Tamandua tetradactyla: one gene and its partners. The protein of the gene in region 2 interacts with the protein of the main gene of each other region in a pairwise test. Links are inferred from orthologs where the notes say so. Each region holds a gene or a part of one and is shown on either strand. Other genes may lie near its edges. The genes, in order: PBXIP1, WASHC3, HSBP1 and TXLNA.

Region 1 (7,409 bases), on a different chromosome or scaffold from region 2:
CTTTAGAGAAGGTTACAAGATTCTGAGCCCCTCCCCGCTATTTGGTGCTTCGCTTTCCCCTTGGGAGATGGCACAGTAATAGGGCATGTGTTTTAAATTCAAAGTTATATTTAAGTCTCAGGTTTTAGTTGTTTGACCTTGAGCAAATCCTTTCACCTCTCTGAGCCTCATTTTCCTTATGTGTAAAATTATAGAAAGAAAAATAACCCCGTCTTCAGGGTTGTGGGGAGGATGAAATGATTGTGCACGTAAAACTCCAGCCTTGGGTTTAACAAGTGCTGAGTGCCCAGTACGTGGCCCCTGTCCTGTTCCTGCCCATTCATTGCCCGCCCCCCCCCCACCCCCTCCTCGTTCATGCCCTCGCCCCTCACTCTGGCCTGCTTCTCAGGATGGCTGGCTTCGATGGCTCAGCTTGGGATGAGGAAGAAGAAGAGCCACCTGATCACCAGTACTATAATGACTTCCCGGGGAAGGAGCCCCCTCTTGGGGGCGTGGTAGACGTGAGGCTTCGGGAGGGAGCCACGCTGGGCGCTGCTCGACCAGCTCCACCCAGTGCCCAGACCCCCAGCCATCTGGGGGCCACGCTGGTAGGTTGCTTGGATGGCGGTGGGCGGGGCCCTGGGCGGGAGGGTCCCTGCTCTTATCTGATTTTTGTCCCTGCAGCCAGTGGGGCAGCCTGCGGGGGGAGACCCAGAAGTCCGCAAGCAGATGCCACCTCTGCCACCCTGCCCAGGTCTGAAGGGAGCTGAGGTGGGCGGAGCTGGGGCACAGGGGGCAGGGCTAGGCTCACTGTAAAGTTTCCCTGTCTTCAGCAGGCAGAGAGCTCTTTGATGACCCCTCCTATGTCAATGTACAGAACCTAGACAAGGCTCGGCAAGCAGGGGGCGGGGCCGGGCCCCTCAATCCTGCCATCAATGGCAGCACACCCCGTGACCTCTTTGACATGAGTGAGTGCTCCTCTTTCCTTTCTGCATCCCCATTTCCTTCTTGGTTCGTCCATCTGCCGTTTCCTTCCTGGCCTTCTCCTAAGTTCTGGGTCCTGGGTGAGGAGCGTATAGGCTGCCTCTCCTACCCTCTCTCTGCACCCTCAGAGCCGTTTGAAGATGCCCTTCGGGTGCCTCCACCTCCCCAGACGTTGTCCATGGCCGAGCAGCTCCGCGGGGAGCCCTGGTTCCACGGGAAGCTGAGCCGGCGGGAAGCTGAGGCGCTGCTGCAGCTCAATGGGGACTTCCTGGTGCGGGAGAGCACGACTACCCCTGGCCAGTATGTGCTCACCGGGCTGCAGAGTGGGCAGCCCAAGCACCTGCTGCTGGTGGACCCTGAGGGGGTGGTGAGTGTGGCAGAGGTGGGGGGAGAGGGGTTGCAGAAAGAAAGATACAGTACTCTGCAGTGCAGCTCTGTTCCTTTATGCATTGCTTCCTAGACTTTCCCATCCGGGAAGCTCTGTACGGGTCTCCCCTGCTCTTAAAAGGTGCCTTGGTGACCCTTCTCCAGAGATTTAGCGTTCCCAGTTTTCTCCTCCCTAAAACTAAGCTGTATTCCTTCCAGCCCTGGCTAATCCTCAAATCCCTGAACCTAAAGCCCATCAGAGCTAGAAGGGGGCCTGAGTGCTCATCTCATCTGGGCCCCTCTTTTGACAGATGAGACCATTCTGGAGTTGTACTTGGTGGGCAGATGATTAGAGGCCAGACCCCTCATCCCTTACAAGTGGAGCCAGGGCCCTCCCCAGCTTCCCTAGACTCTGGACTCAGGGCAGTGCCCTTTTTCCTATCTGTACTGCCCCGGCTTCCCCTCACAATTTTATTCTCTCTGTTATAGCAATCTCAGCCTCCCTTACACATCCTTTTTTGCACGGTGTATCTTCTCGAGACAGGCCAGCTTCCTCCAGGGCAAGGATGGAGTAGCTATCCCTCAGTTTCACGGTTCCTGGGCTGGCATCCCTTCTGCCTTTCCCCAGTTCACTGCCCTGCCCATTCCCATGCCTTGTCGAGCCCCTTTCTAGAGAGGCCTCACTTATCAGGACTGACAGCTCCCCAAGTGCTACCTCCCCACCTCCCCACCCCCATGCCATTTTTTTTCCCCTTTTTCAACCCTCTTGAATATTCCAGCTCCCTTGACCTTGGAGGCTGAGGTCCTCTTATGACACTCTACCTGAATTGTCCCTCTCTTTTCGGACCTTCCCAGGTTCGAACAAAGGATCACCGCTTTGAGAGCGTCAGTCACCTCATCAGCTACCACATGGACAATCACTTGCCCATCATCTCTGCAGGCAGCGAACTCTGCCTCCAGCAGCCTGTGGAGCGGAAACTGTGATCCTTCCCAGTGCCCTCTCCCAGGAGACACCCTCTGGCCCCATCCACTTTATTCCCTGGCTCTCAGGAGTGTTCTGAGGGCTGGATCTTGTGTTGGAGCTGGGAGTGGTGTGGACACGTGGTTCGGCATCCGGCTGAGTGAGAGGGTTTGAGTCATGAGATTGGGGTGGAATCTTGCTTCTCCTCAAACCTCACCAAAGCGTTAATGTACAGAGTGGCTCCCTTCCCTGGGCCTTGTCTGTGCCAACCTGATACCCTCTTCGCCAAGAAGGTGGATTCTTGAGGCCTGGACAGTGCCTCAAGAACGTTCTGTGGTGATAGGCCCAGTGAAGCAATCACCCTTCCAGGGAAGAGGGAATGAATCACAACTTGGGTCTACCCCTAGGCTCAGGATATGCCCCAGGCCCCTCCCAAACCCCCTCCCTCCCCCCAGTGTTGAAACTTTGTGCCTTTGACCATCTCCTAGGTCTGAATATATTTTATGCAAAGAGTTCTTCTTGGGCCCCTGAGGTCAAGGACAGGGGTCCTGACACGTTGGCTTTTGAGACCCTCTCCTGTCTTTGTTCAGCACCTCCTCCAGTTTAGGTTGGGAGAACAGAGGAGGAGTGCCACCTGCCCCCTTTCCATGGGGGATGTATACCCTTAGAGACTGCCCCAGAGCCCCCCTCCCGGCCAGGGGGGAGATGGACTCCTCCCTCCCTCAGTGCCTCCTGGCCGGGGCCCCTCACAGAAGGGGTCTGTATATGACTTTGTAAGCCCCACCCCACCATGTCGCATGCATGTTATACTCTACAGCCAAAGTGCAACCGTTCCCCCTGTAGCCTCTGCCCTGCCTCCGTGGCTGGGGTGGTGCTGGGGGGCAGGGCTGAATTTGGGCCTCCTGTAAAATTAACTCTCCCAAGAGAGTTTTACAGAGCAGGGAACAGGGCCTTTGAGACTCTAAAGCAGTAGACAATCCCTAATATCATTTCTAGATGTGGAACTGCTTTTATTTTTTATTTTATATACATGTATTTTAAGGCTGTAGATTTATTTTTTAATTTTGTTTTCTATGGCTTGTTCTTGGAGCACAAAATGATAATTGATTACGTTTATACATCACTTCTTTGACTTTTCAAAGCCCTTTTACAATTATTGGCATTTTCCTCACCCTATCCCGTGAGGGAATTGGGATCGGCAGCATTAATTTTTTTTACAGGAGCGATCCGAGGCAGAGAGGGGTAGGGCTAGAAAAACGGAGCCTCTTACATCGAGGCTGGGAGGTAGAAGTATGGCTGAAAAAGGTTTCACGAGGGGAGCATTAAAACCTGTGTTGATTTATTGAGCACCTTTTACTTTTGGCGCTGCACTAAGCCTGGCCACCGAGACGGAGAAGACGGCCCTGCCCCTTCTCTTAGGCCTCGTGCATACGGGAGAGTTGACTTTTAATTCTCGCCTCCTTTTCGTGTGTGGATGTTTTCACGGGTTTCACTTATACCAAAGGGAAATAATCCTCATTAAAGTTCGTATTTCTTCTAGCCGGGCCTGTCTCTCGGTCACTCCGCAGGTCCATTGTTCGCCGCGGTGGGCGGGGAGGAGGGAGTGGGGGGGCTCAGGGCAGCCCCGGGGCGGGGCGCGGCGGGACCCCCGGGCCCTGCACGACCCTTCGCCGCCCGCGGGACCGGGGCTTCGAGCGCGGGGCGCGGGGCAGGCGCGGCAGGGTGTGGCGCGCGGGCCCCACGATCCGCCGCGGGTTCCTCGCGGGGACCGCCTCGCGCCGCGGGCTGGGCCGGAGCGGCCAGAGGGCCTGTCGGCGCCGCGAGGCCGGACCCCCGGGAAGCCCGGGCCGCCCCGGCGCGCGCCTCCTCCGCGGCGGCCCGGAATGGTACGGTCCGGCGGCAGCGCGCCCCCAGGCCAGGTGGCACGGGCCGCCCCAGCGGCTGAGACGCCGCCCCCGCAGGCTCGCCCGCAGGCTCGGCTCTCCCCGCGCCGCCGCCGGCAGCTCCCAGCCGCGTCCTGCCCAGAGCCGGGTCCCCCTGCTCGCCGGGCTCAGTGGTGGCGGCCACGCCGAGTTCCGCTTCCTGTTGCTGCGGCCGCGGGCGGGCGGAGAGAAGAGCGGGCGCGCGATTTGCGCTCCGCGCCGCATCTGCTCCTAGCCGCGCCCCGAGGTCGCTGCAGTGCGGGGGCCTGCACTGCCCCTGGCTCTCCTTCTGGGCGATGGTGCAGCCCGAGGGCGCCTCCATCTCCCGCCGCCGCTGACCCCGGTCTCCCACCCCATGGCCGCCTCGGCGCCGCCCCCACCGGACAAGCTGGAGGGAGGTGGCGGCCCCGCACCGCCCCCTGCGCCGCCCAGCACCGGGAGGAAGCAGGGCAAGGCCGGTGAGATCTCTGGGAGGGGCGGGGGGCGCGGAGGGGCCCTAGGAGGCTCGGAAGAGGGTAGGTGGGCGAAGACCTTCAGGGACTGGGGGCACGTGTCACAGACCCAGGGCCCTGGGGTTTTAAGGGACATGGAATTCAGGAGTCACTTGGAGTTTGACGGTATCAAGAGATGGACTCTCCTTCATTTAAGGGAAAAGGTGGCCTAGTATATACCCATGCTCACAATTCATTTTTCACATCACACCCTATGATGTTATGAAGTAAATTAGCAAGTGTATAATGAAGTTACAGGAGTTGCTCAGGGGATGGTTGGGAGAAAAGAAGTTGGGGAAACCTGTGTCTACCGTTTGCTGCTCTTCCAGGTCTGCAAATGAAGAGCCCAGAAAAAAAGCGAAGGAAGTCAAATACTCAGGTGAGTGGTGGCTGGTGGTGGGGGTAATTCCTAGCAGTTCCTTGGGACCCTCTAATCTACCACTTCCATATGTATCTGGATCTTGTATCAGGTACAGAGAGAAGGGAAAGCTGTCATTTTTACTATTTGTGGACCTTTCCCTCAGCATCATAACAAACCGGGAGAAATACCCACCCTTGAGAGGTGATATGGCCAAAGACCCCATTAGGCAGGGTCAGTTCGCCCCACCTGCTCTTCCTGTCCTGGGTCCCTCATGATCATGGCACTTTCCACTTACTGGACTTTCTCTAAGTGCCAGGGATTGTGCTAAGTGTTGTACAGGTTGGGAGATAGATATTGTTTTTATTTTACCTGTTTTTTAAAATCCTTGTTTAGTATGCTGGGGTCTTTTTTGTTCTGTTTTTGCCTTTTTGTGTGTGTGTGTGCTAGGGTTTTGAAACATTTCAGGGTCAGAGTTGGGATTTTAGCCTAATCTCTGCCTGCTTTCAAAAAAAGCACAATGACTGCACTATGCTGTTTGCTTTCTACCCTCTGTTCCTCTGTTATGTTCTAAGGTCCATCTTCATCTAAGATCTGAGCTGGCTTGTACCACCCTCAAAAACATATATTGTGTTTTTAGTGCTCTCCTCCCGGTTTAACTCGGCGTCTTCCTTCGTGACTTTCTCCCTCGTCTGGTCCCCCCCAGGGCCCTGCGTACTCACATCTGACGGAGTTTGCGCCACCTCCAACTCCCATGGTGGATCACCTGGTCGCATCCAACCCTTTTGAGGATGACTTCGGAGCTCCTAAGGTGGGGGGCACAGCCCCTCCATTCCTTGGCAGTCCTGTGCCCTTTGGAGGCTTCCGTGTACAGGGGGGCATGGCAGGCCAGGTACCTCCAGGCTATGGTACTGGGGGTGGAGGGGGTCCCCAGCCTCTTCGTCGACAGCCTCCCCCTTTTCCTCCCAACCCTATGGGCCCTGCTTTCAACATGCCCCCTCAGGGCCCTGGCTACCCACCCCAAGGCAACATGAACTTTCCCAGCCAACCCTTCAGCCAGCCTCTGGGTCAAAACTTCAGCCCTCCTGGTGGGCAGATGATGCCTGGCCCAGTGGGGGGATTTGGCCCCATGATCTCACCCACCATGGGACAACCTCCCAGAGGGGAGCTGGGCCCCCCTTCGCTCCCTCAACGCTTTGCCCAGCCAGGTGCACCTTTTGGCCCCTCTCCTCTCCAGAGACCTGGTCAGGGGCTCCCCAGCCTACCCCCCAACACAAGTCCTTTCCCAGGCCCGGATCCTGGCTTTCCTGGCCCTGGTGGTGAGGATGGGGGGAAGCCCCTCAATCCACCTGCTGCCACTGCTTTTCCCCAGGAGCCCCACTCAGGCTCCCCGGCTGCTGCTGTTAATGGGAATCAGCCCAGTTTTCCTCCAAACAGCAGTGGGCGGGGTGGGGGCACCCCGGATGCTAACAGCTTGGCACCTCCTGGCAAGACAGGTGGGGGCTCAGGGCCTCAGCCTCCCCCAGGCCTGGTGTACCCATGTGGTGCCTGTCGGAGTGAGGTGAACGACGACCAAGATGCCATTCTGTGTGAGGCCTCTTGCCAGAAGTGGTTCCACCGCGAGTGCACAGGCATGACTGAGAGCGCCTATGGGCTGCTGACCACTGAGGCCTCTGCTGTCTGGGCCTGTGATCTCTGCCTCAAGACCAAGGAGATCCAGTCCGTCTATATCCGCGAGGGCATGGGGCAGCTGGTGGCTGCCAACGATGGGTGACACTGGTGAAGGGCCCAAGGAAGTGCTCTTCCAGGGTGAATGTTTCCATGCCTGGCTCTTGGTCCTTGTTTCCACTGGCTTCCTATCCTCATGGGGCAGAAACACAGTGGCTCCAGGGGGGAGAAAAGGAACTAAGGTGGGCAGGCAGAAGAGGGTCTGGACTGCTCACTTTTCTGGAAACTTGCACATTGAGATCTGTAGAGGTCCAGGAAACCAAAGCCTTGCTGAGCAGAGCCATTTTTTGGGTGGCAATCTCTGGAGGCCTAGGGGTATGGCGGCAAGAGAAAAGGGGCTGGAGGAAGATCTGGAGAGCAAGGGGGTTCCCTCTGCTGGATGCCCTCTAACACCTGTGCCTAATACCCCTATCTAGCTTCACAGCTCCAGCCTTACTCTTTGGAGTCGAGTGTTAAAGGTTTCTGACCAGAGGAGTTCGGATCTCTTCCCATCCGTAGTAGCCCTGTGATGGGCTCTGGGAGACAGCTTTAGGGAATAAGTGGGGATTTTCTCCTCTTTCCACCCTCCCTTTACCTCCTCGAAGTCCTACCCAACTCCTCCCCCCTCAAAGAACCAAATA
Region 2 (7,620 bases):
CTCAGTGAAGACACTGTGAGATACTGATTATATGATTTGGATAAAATATATGATAAATGAATATATCTCAATAATATGTGACAAAAATAAAGAATTTATGCATGATAAAATTAAATAACATCAATTTATAGTAATCTGCTATGAAAACAGAAAACTATTGAAAAATCCTTAAGATTTCTATTGAATGAATATATACAAGTGGTATGTATAGTCTCTGCCCTTTGAAATCGATATTCATAACAATCTACTTGTTATTCCTATATAAATGAAATCTGGTAATACATTTCCAATGAAAGAAAGCCTGGAGGAAAAAGTACATATTTCAGAAACCTTCCAGCATTTGGTCAAGACTCCTAGTTAAAGATTTTTAATAGTCCTGGAAATTCTGTTATTAAAATGTGAATGGCACTGCTGTCAGGAACTATGGATGACTGATTAATTAAAATCATCAAGAATCCTAGGAGGCAGAAAGAAACTGCCTCTCTTCTTTCATAACTATAGCTTACATCTTGTAGCATATTTGTCTCTTTTTTTGAAGGAACCAAATTACTTTTTTTTTAATTTTGGTCACTTGACCAACTGAGAACAAGCCCATGTTTTTATAGTTTAATTTGATATGTGTGTATATGTATGTATGTGTACATATATAATATACACACTGTTAGTTTGTAAGCTGCCAGTATGCACTATAGCAGAAATGGAACAGCTTTAAAAAGGGAATTTAATAAGTACAGGTTTACTGTTCTAAGGAAATGAAAGTGTCCAAATTAAGGCACCAACAAGAGGTTACCTTACTCAAGAAAGGCCGATGGGTCAGGAACAGCTCTGTCAGCTGGGAAGGCAAGTGGCTGGCATCTATCTGCTGGTCTCTTACTTCTGGGCTCCGTTTCCTTTTCAGCCTCTGTTCCTGTGGGGTTCCTAAGTTTGCTTCTCCAGGGCTGGCTTTAATTTATTAGCTTCCCTTGGCTCTCTCCAGGTTCTAGCTGGCTTAACATCTCATGGTGACATCAGCTGGGCTCCAAGCATCTCCAAACATCCGTGTCTCTGTTCTCAAGTGTGGCTTCTGTCACTTCCGTTATTTCTAACTCTCTCCAAAATGTTTCCTCTTTTAAAGGACTCCAGTAAACCAATCAAGACCCACCTGAAATTGGTGCAGTCACATCTCCACGTAATCAAAAGGTTATACCCACAATTGGGTGTGCCGCATCTTTATGGAGATGATCTAATAGAGTTTCCACCTAGAGTATTGAATTAGGATAAAAGAAACAGCTGTCCCCTCATGATTGGATCAGGACTAAAACAGGGCTTTTCTGTGGTATGTAATACTTTCAAATCAGCATGCATGTGCCGTGCGCACACACACACACACACACGCACACACACATGCCTGCTACTTGTACTTCACCATGAAATCATAAGGTAATTAGGTTTTTTTTGCCCCCTTAACTGGGAAGCAGTGGACAGGAAAGCTAGGCTGACCGGCTGGGTATTCTGCTCTGGGAGGGGAATGATCAAAGAAGAGGAAGAGAAAATGCGGGGATTGCTAAAGCCTGAGATTCACAGAGCACAGAGGTAGGGACTAGGAGTTGGGGACGAGTCAGAAAAGGCAACATAGAAAGTTGAATGAGGATGGGAGTCTGAGGCTAAAAGATGACTTCGGGGTCCAGAACTAATTGTGATGAACTCAAGGCACAGAATGGCATTGGAAGAGGAAAGGGTGGGGACTCTAGGAGTAGGCAAAGCTCTGGAAAGAGTAAGTGGTGGTAGTATAATTTGGGCAGAGAATAAAAAAGTATTTGCAAAGTCCCCTTGGGGGACCCGGGAGAAAGGAGGGAATATTCATATCTCCCACCTAGGGGATTGCTGATGTTCTCACAATCAATTTAATAGGCCAAGCCTCTTTCTTGGGGCTTGCCCCTGTGAAACTTATTCCTACAAAGCAGAAGGTAAGCCTACTTATAATTATGCCCAAGAGTCTCCCCCAGAGAACCTCTTTTGTTGCTCAGATGTGGCCTCTCTCTCTCTCTTTCTCTCTCTAAGCCAAATCGGCAAGTGACCTCATTGCCCTCCTCCCTATGTGGGACATGACTCCCAGGGGGTGTAAATCTCCCTCCCTGGCAATATGGGACAGAACTCCCAGGATGAGCCAGGACCCAGCATCATGAGTTTGAGAAAACCTTCTTGACCAAAAGGGGAAAGAGAGAAATGAGACTAAATGTTTCAGTGGCTGAGAGATTTCAAGTAAGAATTGAGAGGTCATTCTGGAGGTTATTTTTATGCATTATATAGCTATCCCTTTTTTGTTTATGGTGTTTTGAAGGGGCTGGAGGGAAGTACCTGAGACTGTTGAACTGTGGTCCAACAGCCTTGATTCTTATAGACAATTGTATAACTATAGAGCTTTTACAATGTCACTGTGTGATTATGAAAACCTTGTAGCTGATGTTCCCTTTATCCAGGTTATAGGCAAATGAATAAAAAGAAAATAAGGACAAATTAATAGGGGAGATAAGAGGTAAAAAATTTGGGTAGATTGCAATGCCAGTAGTCAATGAGAGGGAGGGGTAAGGGGTATGGGATGTATGGGTTCCCCCCCCCCTTTATTTCTTTTTCTGTAGTGGTGCAAGTTTTCTAAAAATGATCATGGTGATGAATATGCAACTATGTGATGTTGTGAGCCATTGATTGTATACTTTGTATGGACTGTCTGGTGCATAAAGATATCTCAATAAAAATATATTTTTAAAAAAAGAGTAGGTGGTGGTCTTCCTCCCGTCAAAGGTGGGTAGTAGGTGAGCATGTAGCTTTCTAGGGCTCAATCTCAGTTCTTTTGCATAGCCTGTTCCCCTTTGTGGAATGCCCCTCCCATACTCCTTCACCTTGATAACTTTTGCATTTTCAAATCATGCATCCAGGGAGCTAGCTCAAATTTCATCAAACTGGGTTAAGTACTCCTCTTCACAGCATACTTTAGCCTAGCCTCTATCACACTATTATTCTCTTTTCAATTTTCTTTCTCCATTCCTGGACTGGAAACAATTTAATATCGATTTGCTTTCCATATAATCTGTTTACTTCTATGAAGGCAGGAATTTGGGGGCAGTTCTAATCAGTGCAGTATCCCCAACTCATAACAGCACATAGTAGGGACTATCTGTTGATTGAATGGATAACTCTTCAACACATTCCAACATGCCTGGATCATACTTAGCCCTCAAAACTGTGTATTAAAACTGAATTTTCATTTCAAAGGAGAGTGATATGCATTTAAAATTATTTGTCCTATCCTTCCTCACTTCTACCTCCCATTATTGATGTGTACAAACACTATTCTCAACTTTTCTGTTTCCAGCATTTATTAAGTATCTATGTGCTAGTCACTGCTTACCCTTTTCCAAATTCCAAATCCTGTTTCCTGCTTAACTTCTTTCGCTTACTCCTCATCACATATAGAAGCAATTTTCAAACCTTTCAGTTTAGAATAATCCCTAAGGAGTTACTTAAAATGCAGTTTTCTAGGTCTCATCCCCCAGCACCTTTTATTCGGTTTATTTGGGATTAATCCCTGGAATATGCAATTAAGAAGCACCACCCCCTTGCAAATATTGATTTAGATTGTCCATTTGCACGGTCACTGTGAGAACCACTGCCTATAGGATCAAAGCTGACACAAAACGCCCTTAATGAGTGTGTTTCTATGAATCCAGTCTCATTTCCTATCATTCTCCATTTGGAACTTCGTGCTTCAATAGAACCAAACACTACTCCCTTTCCTTAAGGGCCGCGCCGCACTCCCGCAGGCCTCCCACCCCACGTGTCTGGCAGGCCAAGCCCGCTCAGCGTTAAGCAGCTGCTCCCCAGCTCCTTCCCTCTATTTTCTCAGCGCACCGCGGCGAGCCTGCGTCTATGGCCGCACAGCACTCCGATCCCGGCCACGTGCGTCTGCGCAGCTCTCACAGGACTGTGTCGGCCTGTCCGTCCGGAAGCTGCTCTTCCAGATTCTGCACAGCCGAGTCATAACCTTCTTGAGGGCAGAGACTGTGGTTCCTGTCACCTTCTCCGTCCTCAGCATCGTGCCTGCTTCACGGGACAAGCCGAAGCTTTGGGTGAGGTGACCGTCCTAAGTCACACAGCTGCTACACTGCAGTCAAAAGCTTCACATTTCAGTGTCAGAGCTCATTCCCAGGTGACCTTTTCCGCGATCTAAAGAAGCCATTTCCATTGCTTTATTCCTCCCACGTGGCAAGTGACATTTGATTTTCTGCTGTGAAGTCCCACAGGGGCAGGTCTTACCTCCCTCAGAGCATAATTCGTCTCCGTCTTTGCGTCCCCACAGGACCTAGCAGAGTAGACCGAAAATACATATTTGTTCAACGAATGGCGGAACAGCTATTTACATAGCAGGCCAGACTACGCAGGACAGACCTCAAACCGACACAACCCCCGACTCCTTTCTTTCTTCACCCCCGTCCGTTTTCGAGACGTCTCCGCAGCCCAGCTCCACTCGGCGCGCCCGTGGGCGACGTCACAACCCGGCCCTGGAACTACCAGTCCCAGAATGCCGAGCGAGGGGGCGGGCCTTCCGGGACCTGCCGCGTGATTGGCGCCCGGAGGCTTTCCTTCCGGCGGGCCGGCCCCGGAAGGCGGCGTTCGGGAAGTGCCCGACGTGAGGCCCGTGTTGGGTGGGTCCCAGCGGGGAGGGCTTTACGAGGGAGCCCGGGGGCCCCCCACCCTCCGAGGAGATGGATGAGGACGGGCTTCCTCTCATGGGGTCGGGCCTAGACCTGACCAAGGTTTGTAAAACACAGAGCTGAACTTCCGGCGCCCGGGGAGGCGGATGGGGAGGGAGCCCGGCCCCGGGCAGAAGCCCCCGCCCGCAGGCCGCACCGCCCCTGGCCCCAGCCTCGGCCTCTGCCGGCCTGGGGAGGCACAGCCCCGCAGCCCGCCTCGCAGTGGGGCCCCCGACCCCACGAAGCGGATGGGGTCGCTCCCCCAGCCCCCGCTTCCCGGGTCGCCCGAGGGCCCCTTGAGCTCGGCGCCGGACGTTCTTTCTGTCCGAGGTACTGAGACTCCAGAGCCCGTTCCGCCACTTGCCCGCAGCCTCTGTCCTCTTCGGACCCCCGCCCCGCTGTCCGGGGAAACTGAGGAAGCGGCTCTGAGGGCTCCAGGGGGTGCCTGCGAAGGCGTGGCCGGCGCCTCACGCCGCGTCCTGTTTGTCTCCGCGCCACGCAGGTGCCCGCTATCCAGCAGAAAAGAACGGTGGCGTTTCTGAATCAGTTTGTGGTGCACACAGTCCAGTTCCTCAACCGCTTTTCCACGGTGTGTGAGGAGGTAGGTCCTGTGGCGGCTCCTGGAGTAGAGTTCCGAGTGGCCCGGAGAGACCCTCGAGCCGTCTCGGGTTCGGCCGATGCTGCCCCGCGCCCCTGCGGACCTGCGTGCTCAGCGCCCGGGTCCGATGGCTCGGGCGGGTTGACTGCGACTAAAGCGAGCAAGAGGACTTCCCCGGGGCCGCTGTTGAAAACATCCTTGATAGATGGGTTCACCTTACCCCGAAGGTTCACATTTTTAGGTGCACAGTGTTTCAGTTTATATTAAAATCATTTTACATTCCTTGATCCAAAATATGATTAGGAGAGGTAGCCTAGAAACATAACTTTAGCTTCCAGTATCATTATGCAAATAAAGGTACTTGATGCAAATGACTCATGCAGTGAGGATTAAGTACCAGATGAAGGATTAGATACCAGATCCAGAAAAGCCAAAAAAAGGGAAACGGGTTGAAATCGGGTTTAGGAAAGAACAGAAGAAATGAGAAGTGGGTAAATCATGGATCTTAGATAATTCACAAGTGAGACAACTGAGTAAACAGTATCGAGTTCACTCTATTTTATGTATAACCTTAGCAAGTGGAATTTTTGTTAGATGTGTTATTAATAAAAGTTGTATGGACACAGGAAGACAATGTTCACTAATATGAGTCCAGCTACTGTGTTTGTCTGCTTATCAAAATCTTCTGCCTTCTCACCGAGACAAATAAAAATGCAGCCTGAGCTCATTCATAGCGTAAGGGGATCAATTCAATATACTTTGATAACAGGCGGAAAGACTAGGTGTTTGCTTCCATGAACTTAATCTTGTAATGCTGCCTGTCTAAACGGGATATAGAATTCACTGAATAAAAAACAGTAAGCTGAGAATTTAGCCCTTCACTTTTCACACCAGGTGGGATAGAGAGGTTTCTGGGAAGGGCACATCCGAGGATTGTTTGCGGAAAGGAGCAAATAGTCCATCTCCTTATTCCTCATCACCAAATTAAGAACTAAAACAGACGATGATAACAAAACAAGCACATACACCATTGAAATCAAGTTGATTGAGCTGCTCTAAGGCAGGGATAGCCCCTCACTTTTGTAGCACCTAACAGTTACCACCGCCTGAAGAGTGCTATTTACTGACATTTAGATCAAAAGTAATAATGATCTCTTGATTGAATGCTTATGAATTGTCAAAGCCTTGTGGTGTAAAAGCCTCATGATTCACTTTTTTTGAAAAATACCTTTTTTAAACCAATTTTTAGTTGTAAAATACAGTATATATATATGTGTATATATGCACACACACACAAGGAAAAGAAAGAAAACAAGCAAAAATTTGTGACGCACACTTCAACAAGCAGCTACAGAACAGTTCCCAGAGTTTGTCATGGGCTAAATTCAGATTTTTCCTTCTAGCTGCTCCAAGACACTGGCAGCTTTATCAGTGTCATAATATTGGAATCATACAGTATCCTTTTGTGTCTGACTTATTTCACTCAGCATATGTTTTGGGACACTTTTGTCTAAATGCTACATAATATTCCATAGTGTGTATATACCATATTTTGTTTATGCACTCATCTGTTGATGGATGCCTGGATTGTTTCCATCTCTTGACAATTGTGAATAGTGCCTGTTCTAGTTTGCTAGCTGCTGGAATGCAACACACCAGAGACGGATTGGCTTTTAATAAAAGGGGATTTATTTTGTTGGTTCTTCAGAGGAAAAGCAGCTAACTTTCCACTGAGGTTCGTTCTTACGTGGAAGGCACAGGATAGTCTCTGCTGGTCTTCACTCCAGGCTCCTGGGGTCCAACAATTTTCCCCAGGGTGACTTCTTTCTGCATCTCCAAAGGCCTGGGCTGAGCTGTAAGTGCTGAGATGAGGAATGCCGAGCTGCTTAGCTGTGCCACGTTGTGATCTCTCATTTAAGCACCAGCCAATTAAGTCAAACGTCACTCATTGCAGCAGACACGCCTCCTAGCCAACTGCAGATGTAATTAGCAACAGATGAGGTTCACGTACCATTGGCTTATGGCAGCAACAAGACTAGGTATGCTCACCTGGCCAAGTTGACAACTGAATCTAACTAACACAATGCCTCTGTGAACATCAGTGTGCAAATGTTTGTTTGTGTCACTGCCCTCAACTCTTCTGGGTATATAGCGAGTAGTGGTATTGCCGGGTCATAGGGCAACTCAATATTTAGTTTTCTGAGGAATCGCCAAACTGATTTCCACAGCAGCTTAACCATTTTACATTCCTACCGACAGTGAATAAGTGTTCCAGTTTCTCTGCATCCTCTC
Region 3 (7,938 bases), on a different chromosome or scaffold from region 2:
ATGAACTAAGCATACAACTTAAATTGGGGTCGGGGGGAAGCAGAATAAATTCTGAGAAAACATAGGAAAAGCAATGAAACCAAAAACAAACATACAATAGAAAGGATCAATGAAACCAAAAGCTGAAAAGTGTAACAAAACTGACACCCTCTGGTACAACTGATAAAGGAAAAAAGAAAAGGTCCACATACACAATTTTAGGAATATAAAAATGGTCCTAACTAAAGAAGCTGAAAACATTTTTTCAAAAGAGATCTTATCAACACTTACTTGATGCCAACGAACTTGCAAATTTAGATAAAACTGATACACCCTGGTGTGCAGCCCATAGAGAGCAGGAAAATAAGTTCTAAACAAATAATTGGACTCAATATATTAGAAAAAGCAAGTGAGAAAAGAACTGAATAAGCATTTCTTTGATCTGGAAATTGCATGGACACTGGTGATTTCAACCAGAGCAGTTTCAATGGAGAGAAGCAAAAGCCAAGCTATGTATAGGTAGACAGGCACTGTGCACTTCAGGTTGTATAAGCGACAATAAACTTTAAAGAAAACAAAATTGCATGAGCAGAAGGTAAGAGAGGGAGGCAGTGAGTGACAATGGCACACTTTTCTCCTTCTAGAACCTCAATTATGGAGCAGCAACCAAGAAGGCCAGGAGAGGCTCCCTTTGGTTGGGGTGGTTTGGATTTTCTATTGGTTTTCACCACTTTTATATGCTGAGAGAAAGGAGTCAATGGGAAAAAGGAGGGGAGGAAGCAAGTTGCTGGAGTTGATGATGGGGTCCAGAGTCCAGCCCTCTACAGTGGACAAATGGACAGCTTTGGACATGGAAAGGACACTTCCTCCTTGGAGACAAAAAGGGCCAAAGCCAAGACAGGTGTGAAGACAGGTGCATATGAGGGTATAGAGGGTAGGAATTAAGTAGGCTTGTAACTGAGATTTTCTATTTTCTCTGCAAAATAGAACACAGAGGCACCCTCTGAACGTGAAGGGAATGCATGCTGGGTGTGAAGAAACTGGAAAAGTCTGGAATGACCACTGAAGGGTTAGGAGCTCCAGCAGCCCAGGCCACTCAGAAGAAAGCAGCATTATATCTGGAAACTGCCCCAGCAGCACCACCTCAGTCAGGTGTCAGAACCAGAAAAACAAGGCTGCAGCAGCTCGCACCCATGACAGAGCTGATCCAGGTGCAACCAGGCAAACGAATTCAAAGGTTTCTCCATGGTCCTGATATGATAATTTCTTCCACAAGGCAAACAAAAAAGCTCATCGACATGCCTATACACGTACACATACACAGCCCCCATTCTAGAGCTGGATAGAAAGAGCGCCGGAGCGGCCCAGCTGGAAACAAAGTGCCATTATGAAAGTACCACATTGAGCTCACATAAAACCAAACCTTCCTGAAAGGGGAAAAGAATTAAAACTGCAATGATTTTGAAAGAGCAAAAAAAAAAAGACAACTATGACACTTAAATAAAGGTTTAAAACTAGGGTTGTTAAAAAATAAAAATGAAAAGGTTAATTGCTAGCACCTTACACATAATACAGTAGTTTTGTTAATGGAACAATATTCAGTTAGGTTCAGTGTGTCAGCTTCACACAGTATATGAGCCATGACCATAAATTAGTGTCGCTTTCATGGAAAGCAGCTGTTTAACAGACCTGTGGTCTCCACACACAATGCACTCCATCTTTCTGTTTAAGTGCAAAAAAAAAGTCTCCATAGAAAGAGTGCCAAGTTTGTTGCTGTTTATGCAAAGAAAACTTCAGTATTTTAAAACCTCAAATCTCTTGCCAGAAAAGAAAATCCAGATCCTAATACTAATTCACATTCCTTTGTTTCTCATAACAGTAAGCTAGGATGGCTTGCAACCTAGCTAGGGGTACGCAGACTTCTATGCTGAGCTCAAATAAGAAAGTCTGAGATCCTATCCAGTCTTGGCTACTCTCTCAAAAGATTCTGGAGCGTTATGAAAAAGTCTTTACAAAATAGCAATAATACTAATTTCAGGTGGCATTGCTTCACCAGCCTTCACTCTCAATATATACAGGGGAAACATTCTTTTTTTTTTTTAATGGCATTTTTTTAAATTTATTTATTAATTAAAAAAATTTAACAAACAAAATACAACATTAACATAGATAATCAGTAATTCACAATATCATCACTTAGTTGCATATTCATCATTTCTTAGAACATTTGCATCCATTCAGAAAAAGAAATAAAAACACAATAGAAAAAGAAAGAAAACGAAAACAGAAAAAAAAAGATTGTACCTACCATACCCCTTACCCCCACTTTCACTGATCACTAGCATTTCAAACTAAATTTATTTTAACATTTGTTCCCCCTATTATTTATTTTTATGCCATATGTTCTACTCGTTTGTTGACAAGGTAGATAAAAGGAGCATCAGACACAAGGTTTTCACAATCACACAGTCACATTGTGAAAGCTATATCATTATTCAATCGTCCTCAAGAAACATGGCTACTGGAACACAGCTCTACATTCCCCTCCAGCCTCTCCATTACATCTTGAATAACAAGGTGATATCTACTTAATGTGTAAGAATAACCTCCAGGATAACCACTCGACTCTGGAATCTCTCAGCCATTGACACTTTGTCTCATTTCATTCTCCCCCCTTTTGGTCGAGAAGGTTTTCCCAATCCCTTGATGCTGAGTCTCAGCTCATTCTAGGATTTCTGTCCCACATTGCCAGGAAGGTCCAACACCCCTGGGAGTCATGTCCCACGCAGACAGGGGGAGGGTGGTGAGTTTGCTTGTTATGTTGGCTGGAGAGAGAGGCCACATCTGAGCAACAAAAAAACTCTCTTGGGGGTGACTCTTAGGCCTAAATTTTAAGTAGATTTGACCTATCCTTTGTGGGGTTAAGTTTCATATGAACAAACCCCAAGACTGGGGGCTCAGCCTGTAGCTTTGGTTGTCCACACTGCTTGTGAGAATATCAAGAATTCAACTTGGGGAAATTAAATTTCTCAGGGGAAACATTCTTAAGAGACCCAGCAAGAACAAACCTATGTTTGATGAACAAGTATTGAGAATTTTAGGCAAAGTCTACAAGTCCTTCTGAGTGGTTCTCAACCAAGGGTGATTTTGTACCCCAGGGAACATTTGGTGACATTCTGGGTTGTCACAGCGGGGGTGGGTGTGAGGGGGGGTGGGGTGGATATATTATTAGCCTCTAGAGAGTAGAGGTTGGGGTGCAGCTCAACATTCCACAGTGCACAGGGCAGACCCCTCCCACCACGACAGAGAATTACCCAGCCCCCCCAATATCAAGAGTGCTGAGAACCCCTGCTCTGAGATCGGAAAAGTCAGAGAATTCTGGAACGATGGAAAAATAAAGTAAAAAAGTTCTGAGTCTGAGTCCTGTGTCTATTATTTTCTAATTTGATGATCTTGTTCAAGTTTCATAGCCCCTCTGGATCTGTTTTCTCAAAACTATAAAGTGGTAATAATTACATCATAGGGTTCTGAGGATTAAATTCAAACGCTGAGAGTTTTTTTGTAAGAAATGTGGTAAAGCAATAAGCAAATACCAGTTAACAGCAACCAATTATAAAAAGCTTTGTCTTTGCAAAGAAGTGTCCTCTTGACTTTAACAAAGCAAGCTGCTGCACCGTTGACGTGGGAAGGAAGCTCTCCATGTGCCCAGACAGGGACAGGCCAAGGAAACTGGAGTCTGAACACTTCGCGGCCAACCCAGGAGGACAGGCTGCAGTTCCAAATTTGCTACAGGTGCTGGGGGTGGTTCTCGCACACCCTCCCTCCAGCTAAACTCAGACTAGGAGGTCCTTAGATGAGTTAAGGCATGCAGAACACACCAGGCCATGGTCAAGGGCTTTCCTACCCCCTTGCCTTGGGACTCCATCCCAAGACCACCTGGGGAGCAGAGGTCCCAACTTATCCTTGTCCTCCCAACACCTGGGAAAATTCAAGGATTGAAAGTTTAGCTCCAGGAGGCGGGGGCAAAGGCTTTCTTTGAACATGACCAAATTCTTTACTACACAGAACACACCCTGGCCTTTGGCCTAGGCTCTCCAACATCAAAACCACCCTATTTGTCTGAGCATCGACATTAAGCACTGAAATCCAGTCTCTTGCGCCGCAAGAAACTAGCCTTCCCCACTCAGCCAGCCAAGCGGCTACAGAGGCCCCGCGGCCGTCCGCAGGTGAAGTTGCAACACAGGTCTACCGCGCTGACAGTCAGGGCGCTGGTAGGGGCTGAGGGGCTCCCGGAGGGCGGCTCGCGGGCAGGACCTCGTGCGGGGGGACGTCCGCTCTTGGCGGGAGGTGTGTCATGCTGCCCACAAGCCGCCTGCCCCTCGAGGGCTGAGGAAAATACCGCGCCCGAGGGCAGACCCGCAGCATCACGGCCGTCCGTCCGGCGGGCGCGCCCCTCACCTCTCTGGCCTCAGTTTCCCCTCCGGATGAGCCCGGGTTCAGGGCTCCGCGAGCCTCCTCGAGGAGCGGCAGCCACACGAGGCGGCGCGCACATGCACGCGGGAAGTACGTCCCGAGGATCAAGAGCGACCAAACTACCCGGGACCACCACGGGGAGGCAGGCCAGAGCCCAGCCCCGCGTCCCACGGCCGCTTTTGCGGCACGTGTTCCGCAGCGAGCGAGCCACCGGGAGGAGCCCGGCGGGGCGACACGAGGAGGGGCGTGGTGGGGAAGACACGAGCGTGGGCGGAGAGACACGAGGTTACACAAGGCGACGAGGAGGGGCGGGGATAGGGCTGGAGGGGCGGAGCGACACTGAAGGGGCAGGACTCTGGAGGGCGGGGCGAGGGGCGTGGAGAGGCTCTACGGGGAAGGTCTAAGAGGTGAGGGGCCGGAGCTTGCTTCGGAACGGAAGCGCGAGGCCTCGAGGCATTTCCGCCGAGCGGCGTGGACTACAGCTCCCACAATGCCCCGCGGTCCCGCACCTGTCTTCTCACTCGCGAGAAGAAGCCGCTGGGGGCGTCTGCGCGGACAAACGGAAGTATAGGTGACGGGCCGAGACTTCACCGCCAAGCTGGGAACCGGGGAGATGGCCGAGACCGACCCCAAGACCTTGCAGGATCTCACCTCGGTGGTAAGGAAAGCTGCGCTGTCGAGGTCCGCGGGCCGAAGGTGGCGCAGGGGTAGGCCGAGTGACGCAAGGGGTGGTCCGGCCATGCCAGACCGAGGCGCCCCCACCGCGGCTTCGCGGGGCTCCTCTGAAGGCCTAACTGGCCACCACGACCCCGCCAGTTCCGCTCAGTGTAGGCCTGCACCCTGTGCATGCCCCCACCTAGGACCGACCCTCCCTCTGGTTCTCACCCCCCTCCCGTTCCTGAAACTCGCCCCCCGCCCTGGTGACCCCTAGGACTCCGCTAGCATCTCATTCCCACACCCTTCTCTCTCCCCAACTCACCCCTTACCTCCCCTTTGGCACCTCGATGCGTCCAAGCCGTCAGAAAACACCCAAAAGACCCTACTGTATAAATCATGGCAGGCCCAAACTGGAAGGGGCTTCAGTCTCATCAGTCTAATTAATAATTGCGAAATCGGAGGACTGAAGCCCAGTGTAGGAAATACCTTCCTGAGGACCACAGCGCTGCCACCAGGTCTCGCTTCCCGACCTGGCCTTCTGTCTTGATTCCATGAAGACGTCTTGGAATAAATGTTTTCTTTTCTTAGGTGCAGACACTGCTGCAACAGATGCAAGATAAGTTTCAGATTATGTCTGACCAAATCATTGGAAGAAATATCCTTTTTATTGGTAGTCAGTCTCTTCTGGATCTTTGGATCCTGTTTACCAGGTAGTGGTGTGGATAGATGGGTGATTTGCAGCCCAGTTTAATCCAGTCATTTACCAAGTTTTTCACCGAGCCTGGATGTGCTGTTTCCTGAGAAGTATCATGCTAAAGATTCAGGATACAGAGCTAAGCTAGACACATCCTGGCTAGTCTGACCCTTGACTGTGAGATAAAGTGCTTAATATATCTTTCCTTTGATCCTCACAATAACCTTATGCATGGATTATGTTGTTAACTTGATGTAGCTGACGAAGAAACTGAGGTTGAGAAAAGTGAAAAGCTTCTCCAGGATCCAATCGCTAGCATGGAACAGAGTTGGCCCTGGGCATCCTTGCCCCTTGCCCCAGGTTCCTGGACTCCACCACCAGACTAGAACAGGATCCAAAGAAAATTGGAAAACCAGTGTCGTAAGATGGGCGGGTTCAGGCTGTGGTCTGCAGGGCCCTGGAGGGAAAGGATGAGGACTGAGCGGACGTGATATGTGGCATCCCTAACTTTACCACTTGATGACATGAGTAGTCGCATTGACGATCTGGAGAAGAACATTGCAGACCTCATGACGCAGGCTGGGGTGGAAGAACTGGAAGGGGAAAACAAGATACCTGCTGCACAAAAGAGCTGAAGGTGAAGGAGGCTCAATTCTATTTTAAAAACAAAAAGTGGAATACAGAGAGGTACTTCTAAATATAATTTTGAGATAGTCAGATTTTCTCTGGCTCACATCCCAGCCATTATCCCAGCAAGCATTCATTTTATTGTTTCTTCCTTTGGACCCCATATTTTGAAATTTTTCATGCCAAACCAATTATTTAAAATTATCCCAGTTTTTATTAATTGGATCTTTATTGCTTTTGGTTGAAACCCTTAGTTAACATTAGATAACCACTGAGTTTAGATTGTTCTGCTAAAAAGCAAATATGGTGTTGTTGGCCTGCAAAGCCTTATCACTGGAAAATTTTTCATTGGGTTTTTTGAAATACCAAATAAGTCAAGCCCTCTCATGACCACCTTAAAGCCTAAGAACTCTTAAGAGCCTCCTGCACTAGGTAAATGCCGAGACAACGATTGATTTTTCGCAGATGATCTAGAAAGCAGCTAATTAAGCCTCTGCCATGAAGCTGATAGAATTTTCCACTGAATAGTTTCAGATACTAGAAGAAATGCTAGTTAAAAAGAGTTATATTATCAAGAAGATGGATAGCCTTATTCTCACTGTAGTGGGTTTCTTCATTGTAAGCCTTTTTGTGTGTGTGGCGGGTACCTTGTTACAACCCAAAATTAATTTTTAATTTAAATAAACTTTTTCTCTATCTTATTTTTTAGCATTTTAGTCCCTTATAAAAAATGAAATTGGGCAGTGTGATGGTGGCTCAGTGGCAGAGTTCTCACCTACCGTGCCTGAGACCCCGGGTTTGATTCCCGGTGCCTGCCCATGTTAAAAAAATAATGAAGTTTACTGACAACTGTTAGCTAACTAGAGGACCAAGAATTATACAGCAAAATATACCTAATTCCTTTCTTATTTTCTGGCCGACCCAGGAACCAAATTTTAGTTAACTATGCCATATAGGTTGCTTTGAAGTCCAAGAGAATACATAGAGGCTTGAGGGGTCAAAAACTGTTAACTATAAATAAACTAGGTTGGTTCTCTGTGTGACTGAATCACGTACTTGGGTTGCATGGTTTCTGTTATTCTCTCTAGAGATAATGTAGAAACTGTCCTGCCAGTCTTATAAGTTTCCCTGGGTCTCCTCTTATATATTATTTGGCAGCCAGAATTCCCATCAAGTGAATAAGAACATCCTTTCAAGAATTGCAGGACTGAAGACTTCCAAGTGACAGGGAATAATGTAAAGGAATGGGAGCAGAAAACATTTAGTTTTTGTTTTGTTTTTTTTTTTACAAAAAACTTTGCAATTAAAAATCTGTTATTTTGCTGGAATATTGTGCAGATAATTTTTTTTAATTCAGAGAATTCTTATATTTCTATGTATCCTTTTTATTTGTTCTCATATAATGACAAACATGTCATTTTTCCTTTTTAAACAGGTTGCTAATTGACAATGAAATCTGGAACACCGTTTTTACAAGCCAAGAGAAGACCTAATGGCTTTTTGCAACT
Region 4 (7,795 bases), on a different chromosome or scaffold from region 2:
AGCCAAATGATGAATTTTAAAAAATATATACCTCGGGGTGCGAGGTATATACTTTCATTGGTAGAATTCATTGGTAGAATTCTCGCCTGCCTTGCGGGAGACCAGAGTTCGATTCCTGGCCCATACAACTTCCCAAACAAAGAAACCAACAAAACAAACGATTCAACAAATGGTGCTGAAGTAACGGGATATTCACATGGAAAAAGAATGAAATGTGACCCCACTATACAGCATACAAAAAAAAAAGTATATATCTTCTATATACGTGATCGTAAGATTTTTTTTTTTAGTATTTCCTCTTTAAATTAGGGCCACAGGCAGAGGGTAGGAAAGTGGGGAAAAGGATATGCATATAATGTCACCCAACCTCAATTCTTAATACCCTTATTCTGAAGGCTGTCAAGTGACTGTCGGTCACCATCTTTTCTGCACTGCCTGTGCCTGAGTCAATCTCCTTTCTACCCTGCAGGGCCACTTACACCCAGGGACCTCTAGTGTCAGCCTTGGGAGGCTCCAAGAGATGGGTACAGACACTGCAAATCTCTAGAACACAGGGCAAATGCAGTCCATGGGTGGGTTTTGTTTGGCTCATAGCATTTTGTCAACAGTTAAAAATCTAGAGATTTTACTTTAGATTCTTGGTTTTTTCTTAAAAAACAAAGAAACAAAATTCCAGATGCACGAGCCTGTAGTTTTGCATGCTATCAATTGGCTGAGATAAAGTGAATGAAATAGGCAACTCTCTTGGTCCTCATGGGGCTCCCTGGCTAGCCTGTGCAGACAATTGAGTTTTTGACCCCAGTCTAGTCCAATCCTTTCACAAAGCAAAGCTGAAATTAAGGCCAGAAGGAGGGAAGTATTTGCTCAAGGTGACACAGCAGATGAGGGATAGTTCTGGCTGGCAGACGGTCACCCAGGCCTCTGGCTCTCTGTTTCTCAAAGAGAGATCAGAATGGATGTCAGCCCTCACATGCTCCCAAGGCCAGGCGCCCTTGTGCAGTGAAACAACCTGTAGACCTCTATGCCACCCACTGAACTAAGTTAGGATGGTTCACTGCTCTGTGGAGTATTGTGTTCCTCTAACTTCTGGCAGAGCAGTTAGCACAAGTAATGTTGGGTCCCAATGCCTTCCCCTCAGCAGCCTCACATGTAGCTGCCCTCTGCTCACCGAGACCCTTGGCTTTCTTCTTTTCCTGTGGCCTTCGTTGGTCTCGGTCTCCGCCCTCGTCACTTGCTCGGATCTCCTCTGTGCATGGCTCCCCTTTAGAGGTCTCCTTCTCACCATTGATAACTTGGGTCCCTGGTTCAGGTTCCCCATTCCTTGCTGCATAGTTCCGAGACTTCTCTGCATCTTCAGGTTCAGTGGGCTCACCCTGGGCCCCATCCTCACCTGGGCCCCCCTGATTTATGTCCACACAGTATGTACTCAAGATGTCTTCCAACTGGCGGCTCAGCTCTTCAGAGACATCACGTAGGGGCCCAGACTGAGCAGTTTTGGCTTGAGCCCCTACAGCAGCAGATGAGGGACAGAATGAGAAATAAGATGGTTATACCACTGGTTGGGATTTTTCAGGCCCTGCTAAACTCCCTGGCTGGGGTTAAACACTGCCTAACCTCTTTAAGCCTCATTTTATTTACCTATAAAATAGTATAACTACCCCTTACCACCACCCAAGAAGGTGTGTTGTAAGCATAAGAGGTCAAGTACGTAAAGCACATTGCACCAGTTAGACATATAGCAGGAGCTCACTTTCTAGTCCATCACTTTCTCCTTCCCCCTAAAGCCATAGTTTGCTATTTAAAAAGTTCCAGAAATGCCTCAAATATAGACCCACTGGTGACTGATTTGTTACCTAACAGGACCTGGATTTGCAGGTTGGGTCTCTCATTTGACTGTCACTTGGCTAATCCTGTTAGAGCCTTTTCTCAAGAGAGTTCTGTTCCTGTGGCTGGAGGGGGAGGTTCTACCAACTCCCCAAGAAACGGTGGGGGTCACACAGACTCAGCACTGTCCTCTCTCAATCTACATCTCTGGCCTCTCACTCCGGAAGCTAAACCTGCGTACCACAGATTCCTCCCCATGACCACCGGAAAAGCAGAGCTGACACACACCCTCAGTCTTCCCTGGGGCCTGGCAGCAGGAACCTTCAGCTTCTGTCGCCGGAGTCGACTGGCTGGACCGCCCCAGGGCTCCCTCCGGTCCTGCTTCCGGTTGCCCTGGGCCGCTTTTTGGATTGAAAGTGTTGCTTGATTGCTTGGCAGCCCCATTCTTTTTGTCTTGGTTCTTCATTGTGGTTTGCGATGCTAGGTTAGCAGCAGATCCTTTAGAAACAAACACAGCTGCTATTTTCCAGACTTGGAAATTCTTCGCAGCCTCTCTGGATCAGAAATTCCAAGACCGGGCGAGAAAGCTCTTTAAAACAAACAAAAACAGATTGGCGGGCCTTCACCGGAGGGAGCCAACGGTTCTGCTGGTCATTGGGCTGACGGGGCAGTTTGGCCTGCCAAGGCAGGTTTCCGAGCTCCACTCCTGGAGCAGTCGAGGAAAGAGGCCTCTTTTTCCCCGAAGCCACTTCCCGGCACAACACGGCCCCCTCACCACAGGCAAAGAGCGGGATTGGCTCAAGGCCGGAGACTGACGTGGCGGGAGGCTCGATTCCCGATCTCTCCCCGCCCCCAAGCACCACGTGGGCCCCCATGCGCGCGCAGACACCCACGCCCCGCGCGCCCGCCAACGGTGTGCGCGACACCCCCGCGCATGCGCATAGGCATTAACCCATTCTCCGGCCCGAGCCCACGAGTGGAGTCAGCGTGATTCCTCCCACTGGCCGGAAGCATCAAGGCCCATAGGCCCTCCGATCGTCTCATTCCACTAGTCGCCACAGTACGCACCTCACCGCCCGACGGCTTCACCCGCTGTAGCTTCGCACCGGAAACCCTGGGCAACCGCTGCCGGCAGTGCCGCCGCCGCCGCCAATCAATAGCTCGCGCTCTCGCGGGGCTTGCTGGGAAAGACGAAGCGAAGCCGCCTTTTGAGGCCGCTTACGTTGGGAAGGCGGAGGAGGGAGAGGACTACGAGTCCCTACATGCACCGGGGTAGCTGACCGCAATTCCCAAGATGCAGTACATAGGGCTTTAGTCTTCTCAGTCAGATACTCAGGAGTTCTGAAAGCAGCTAGTCATTCTGCACAATACCCACGTCAACCTCTTTTCATACTACGTAGAAGCTATGACTCAGTCCCCAGGCCTGGCGCCTGGTTATTCTTTTTTGCATGCTTCCACCATCCCTTCACTCTTTACTGTGAACTTCTGTGGCTATGTACGAACTCCGAGGAGTCAGGGCAAGGGATAGAATCTTGAGCTGGGAACCAAACCAGTATTCCAGTCCTGAGTACACTAATTTGCTGTGTAGTGACTGGGTTCCTATTTGCTTATTCAAGGGAGGGGCTTTTAATAATAACAGTAACAGTTTGTTGACCGTTTGCTGTGTGCATTTCTGGTATCTACTAGTTCAATATTCAACTACTCATGGAGGTAAGTACTGTTGTTATTCCCATTTTACAGGTGAGGACAGTGGGGTAAAAGATAACTTGTCCAAGGTCATACTACAAATGGGTAGTTAGACCAGGGAGTCAAAACTAGAAAGTCTGTCACTGTCTTTCACCTAGAATAACCAAAGAAATAATCATGGCATATTTACGCTGAAGATGTCAAGGTAACTTGTGAAACTAAGTTTTTTTTACCCTCTTTCCTATCACCAACTTGGCCATTAGTCCCTCTTTGGAAGGGTCTGAGGGGTTCCTGCAGGAGAGGTTGGCTTCAGGCAAAGATTCCTAAGTCTCTTCTCTGGCCTACCTATTACAGAGTAAGTCCCAGTAGCACCAGAGTTAAAAAAGAAAGCCAAGTTTTTTTTTCCTTCCAAATGTGAGATTGCAATTCTTTATTGCCACCGCCTATAGATAATGGAATAATGGCAGACAATCCTTGTGCCTGGAATTTAAAGCCTACATGGTTTGGCTGCTGCCTCTTTCCAACCAACTCTCCTCTTTCTCCCTGCCTTTTGGCTCCAACTGTGCTTTTAGTATTTCTGCAATTTCCCAGGTTTTTGCAGGTCATATTCCCTCTTTCAAAATGACCCTCTGGCAAAAACAAAATTTTCTGTGGCTATGCTTACAGGTCACTTCAGTATGTTCTCAATCCTCTGCAGTCTGTCCTCACTCTAGTCTGGACAGAGTTCAATTACAGAATTATTCGAAACGGTTGAAATTACTATTTACTTACAAATCAAAGAACTGTTGACTAAATTTTCTAGCTCCAGAGCCTAGCACCAGTCTAACAGCACAGGCTTGGTTAAGATTTCAGGGCAGTGCTGGGCCTAATCTTCCCCAGCCCGTAGGCGGCACCAGTGTCTGATGGAACACTGAGTGGGAAGCAATGTGGTATAATGGTATGATGATAGAACTGAGGCTCAGAAAGACAGTGTCCTAAAGAGCCAGGATTTGAAATCCAGATTTCTTTACCCTACGTACTTGATTATTTCCATAACAGCATGTTGGAAATGTCTTGTGGAGGTATATGATAATAGGAATAGAGGAGGTAGGTGGGCAATAAGAAAAATTGATAGAAATATGAGTTAAAATGTTACTTTCTCCTTTGCTGGAAAAGAAAAATGGTAGTGATATTTGCACTTGACAGAGTGAGGAATACAATTGGGAATAGTGAGGATTATGGTAAAATAGAGCAGTTTTTGCAGTTTGTTGCCAAGCAGAAAACTTAGGCCGAACAGTGCCAGATATTCAATATTTTTCAAGACAAGATATTATCTTGACTTTTTTTTAACTTTGGCAACTAATTAAAACTTAAACACACTCTATTGGCCAATCAAAACTCTTCTTTTGGGCAAAATCAACTTTTGGCTGCTTCTCTGCTTTAGAAATTAATCTAAACTGAAGCAAGGCATTTATAAAACTATATGATCTTGGGCGTGCAAGGGGTAGTTCAGTGGTAGAATTCTTGCCTGCCATGTGGGAGACCTGGGTTCGATTCTTGGCCCATGCACTTCCCAAAACTAAACAAACAAAAAAATTCAACAAATGGTGCACCAATAATGGTGCTACAATCTGGAAAAAGAATGAAATGTGACTCTGCCATACAAAAAAAAAAAAACATGAAACGAAAAACAAAACTATATGATCTCAAAGTATGTGGTATTGTTTCTTCATGGGCAAAATGAGGATAATGTTCACTTAAGCCTATAAGCCTTTTAAAGAGTAGTGGACTGAAATGATGTCAACATCCTTTATAGAAACTCTAAAAAATGCAAACCAGCCTATAGTGGCACACTGCAGATCAGTAATTGCTGAGGGTAGGACAGGAAGGAGGGACTCCAAAGGGGCATATGGAAACTTTTTAATTTTTTTTTTTTTTTAACATGGGCAGGCACCGGGAATCGAACCCGGGTCCTCGGGCTTGGCAGGCAAGCATTCTTACCTGCTGAGCCACCATGGCCCGCCCAATATGGAAACTTTTATGTTCACTATCTTGATTATAGTGGTTTCATGGTAGTATATGTCCGAACTTATCACAGGGTACACTTTATGTAGTTTATTGTACGTTATAACTTCATTATTTGAAAAAAAAAAAAGAAGTCTAGCAGGAGCAGGCCGGTGCAATTCTTCTTCCTACATTAGGCTACAGGCATGAACACCCTCCCCTCCTTCACTTCCAAAAAAATTCAGTTTAATTTCACTCCAAATCAAAAGAAACAATTTAGAACTTTGCAACAGGTTTTTATTTTTGCTTTATATCTATTACAGTGTTTGAAACCTAAAGAAATACATTTTCTCTTCAAATTTGGATGTGTATATAAATATCATTTTTCTGGACTAAACACTCAATGCCTATGCTCTGAAATCATCAAGCTGTATCTCTGTCTCCCTAGGGGCCCTGAGAATATGGAAAATAGCCAGACGGTTTATGTTCTTGGAAAAATAAAAGGAAATGAATTCTGAAACACCAGTGAGGTGAAGGGATGTATTCACCTTCCTAGGGTCTGTAGCTGGGAAGCCTATCTGTTCTTAGGGAACATCAGGTACGCCTTGGGTGGCTAGGGCCCCATAACCCTTTCCCTTCTCTAGTGGTTCAATCAAAGGCAGTTCGCACAAAAGCTGGATAAAGAAACCAAATTTCAACTTCAGGGTCCAAGGTTTCTTGTAGAGGACATTCTCTGAGTCAAAGGTTTCTAGCCAGTCTCAGAACCTTTGAGAAATGCCTTTCTTCACTGTCCCAGGGGATGGCAGTTTTCTCTTCCCAAACCTAGGGGCTGAAAACTAGACATACATAAGGGAACACGGGATTCAGCAGAGAGGTTCAGGCAAGTGCTAATGGAGATGAGAAGCTGGGCTGGCCTAGCCAGTGAAGCCCAAGCTCACTGAAGACCTTTACACCACACAGCAGCTCTCATAGGGTGTTCTGGGCCTCTTCTAACTCTCATAGCCAATTTTGGTTCTGCATACAGCCCAGGCCTGGGTAGGTGTAGCAGGCAAGAGTTAATACTGACCTATAGGGGCCAGATGGGAAGTATGAGTAGAGCAGGCAGGCAAGGAATAAGAAACATAGGTTAAAAAGTTATTTTCTGCTTTGCTATAAATGAAAAATGTTAACAGTATTTGCAAAATGCCTTCTCAGAGGAAAAATAATAGCTGAATTACAAGATTTGGTTAGTCTTGACCTCAAATTCTTCCCTTGCCATGGTCTTAATTCAGGGCTGGAGCTAGGGGATCAGAAATGGATGGCTGAATCATTATGAAGGCATTGGCCAAATAGCAGCCTAGTGCCTACCAGATAAATCCCTATAGGGCCAAATTCTCAGCTTGTTGGCTCAACAAAAGAATCAAACTATGACAAAAAAAACTACTGGACAAGGTTAGTGTAATCCTAACATGGCTGTGGAAGAAATGTCCTCTGAACAATCTCAGTTCCACACTCATTCACTTCTAGGGTAGTCCTACCTGGAAGATGTTGCTGGCTATGAACATTTGCTGTGGCTCCGAGTCCTGGCCCTAGATCCTTCCCCAGCCTGTCAGTGAGGCAGACAGGCACATATAACATACCTGAAGCCCCCATGGGAGTGTACAGGGACCTGAAGAATTTGGCTTCCTGCCTTCTACTGAGAATTTAGAATGAGACTATAGGATAAATCACTAAGGAAAACCCAAGATGATGGATACCAAGTTGAATGAGTTTAGAGAAGAGATGAGACCTGGGCAAATGAGCTGACACCTTCAAAGAGGGGCATGTGGGACAAAGAAGGAAGTATTGCTAAGTTTTCATCTCCTTTCCTTCCAGTTTCCTAGAATATGGGAAACTCCAAAGAGAAGACGGGGAAATCCAATTCACTCTCCTAGATGGTTTTCATTTTAAACTGGTTCAGCCTGAATGAAACAGAACATGTGTGCCTGAAAGCCTTCTTTCCCTCTCCCTTGACTAAGTACAGTAGCAGCTAGAATCTGTGCAATTCATCTCCAGAAAATAGGCCTTCTGGAAGGTGACCTCCAGGGCAAACAGAGTGGAAGGAACAGATCTAACGTAGATCCAGGTAAGAGAGAACACCAAGGATCCTTGAAAGTGGGGTCATCAATACCTGCTCCTTGGAAGAGTCATTTATGCCCACTGCTCCAAGTAACTAGGCTGGCCAGCTGAGGGTGGAACACATGTGGTTGGTTCTACAAGAGGGATTCTGCCAACACCAGGGCTAGGCAGTCAGTGGGAACCTCTGGAACTAAAAGGCAGGTTT

Evidence for each region.
Region 1: the proteins of WASHC3 (region 2) and PBXIP1 interact in binary tests that used the Homo sapiens proteins (3 or more experiments, as listed by UniProt). The two-hybrid records come from large-scale screens. The link is inferred for Tamandua tetradactyla from reciprocal best matches to the Homo sapiens genes WASHC3 and PBXIP1.
Region 3: the proteins of WASHC3 (region 2) and HSBP1 interact in binary tests that used the Homo sapiens proteins (3 or more experiments, as listed by UniProt). The two-hybrid records come from large-scale screens. The link is inferred for Tamandua tetradactyla from reciprocal best matches to the Homo sapiens genes WASHC3 and HSBP1.
Region 4: the proteins of WASHC3 (region 2) and TXLNA interact in binary tests that used the Homo sapiens proteins (3 or more experiments, as listed by UniProt). The two-hybrid records come from large-scale screens. The link is inferred for Tamandua tetradactyla from reciprocal best matches to the Homo sapiens genes WASHC3 and TXLNA.

What each region holds. Positions count from the first base shown.
Region 1 is NC_135330.1:7,950,949-7,958,357, reverse strand, and holds the start of PBXIP1 (pre-B-cell leukemia transcription factor-interacting protein 1), read left to right. Parts: upstream 1-4,396; 5' UTR 4,397-4,567; coding exon 4,568-4,670; intron 4,671-5,032; coding exon 5,033-5,082; intron 5,083-5,767; coding exon 5,768-5,872; intron 5,873-7,409. Other genes in the region: SHC1 (SHC-transforming protein 1), read left to right, coding at 389-587, 664-733, 813-947, 1,092-1,330, 2,185-2,313. UniProt on the Homo sapiens protein: Regulator of pre-B-cell leukemia transcription factors (BPXs) function. Inhibits the binding of PBX1-HOX complex to DNA and blocks the transcriptional activity of E2A-PBX1.
Region 2 is NC_135333.1:172,203,381-172,211,000, reverse strand, and holds the start of WASHC3 (WASH complex subunit 3), read left to right. Parts: upstream 1-4,607; 5' UTR 4,608-4,742; coding exon 4,743-4,793; intron 4,794-5,232; coding exon 5,233-5,331; intron 5,332-7,620. UniProt on the Homo sapiens protein: Acts as a component of the WASH core complex that functions as a nucleation-promoting factor (NPF) at the surface of endosomes, where it recruits and activates the Arp2/3 complex to induce actin polymerization, playing a key role in the fission of tubules that serve as transport intermediates during endosome sorting.
Region 3 is NC_135342.1:78,500,082-78,508,019, forward strand, and holds the start of HSBP1 (heat shock factor-binding protein 1), read left to right. Parts: upstream 1-4,932; 5' UTR 4,933-5,065; coding exon 5,066-5,110; intron 5,111-5,697; coding exon 5,698-5,764; intron 5,765-6,319; coding exon 6,320-6,438; 3' UTR 6,439-6,440; intron 6,441-7,865; 3' UTR 7,866-7,938. UniProt on the Homo sapiens protein: Negative regulator of the heat shock response. Negatively affects HSF1 DNA-binding activity. May have a role in the suppression of the activation of the stress response during the aging process.
Region 4 is NC_135328.1:193,695,613-193,703,407, forward strand, and holds the start of TXLNA (alpha-taxilin), read right to left. Parts: upstream 3,017-7,795; 5' UTR 2,893-3,016; intron 2,680-2,892; exon of another isoform or gene 2,414-2,679; 5' UTR 2,291-2,413; coding exon 2,113-2,290; intron 1,508-2,112; coding exon 1,169-1,507; intron 1-1,168. UniProt on the Homo sapiens protein: May be involved in intracellular vesicle traffic and potentially in calcium-dependent exocytosis in neuroendocrine cells.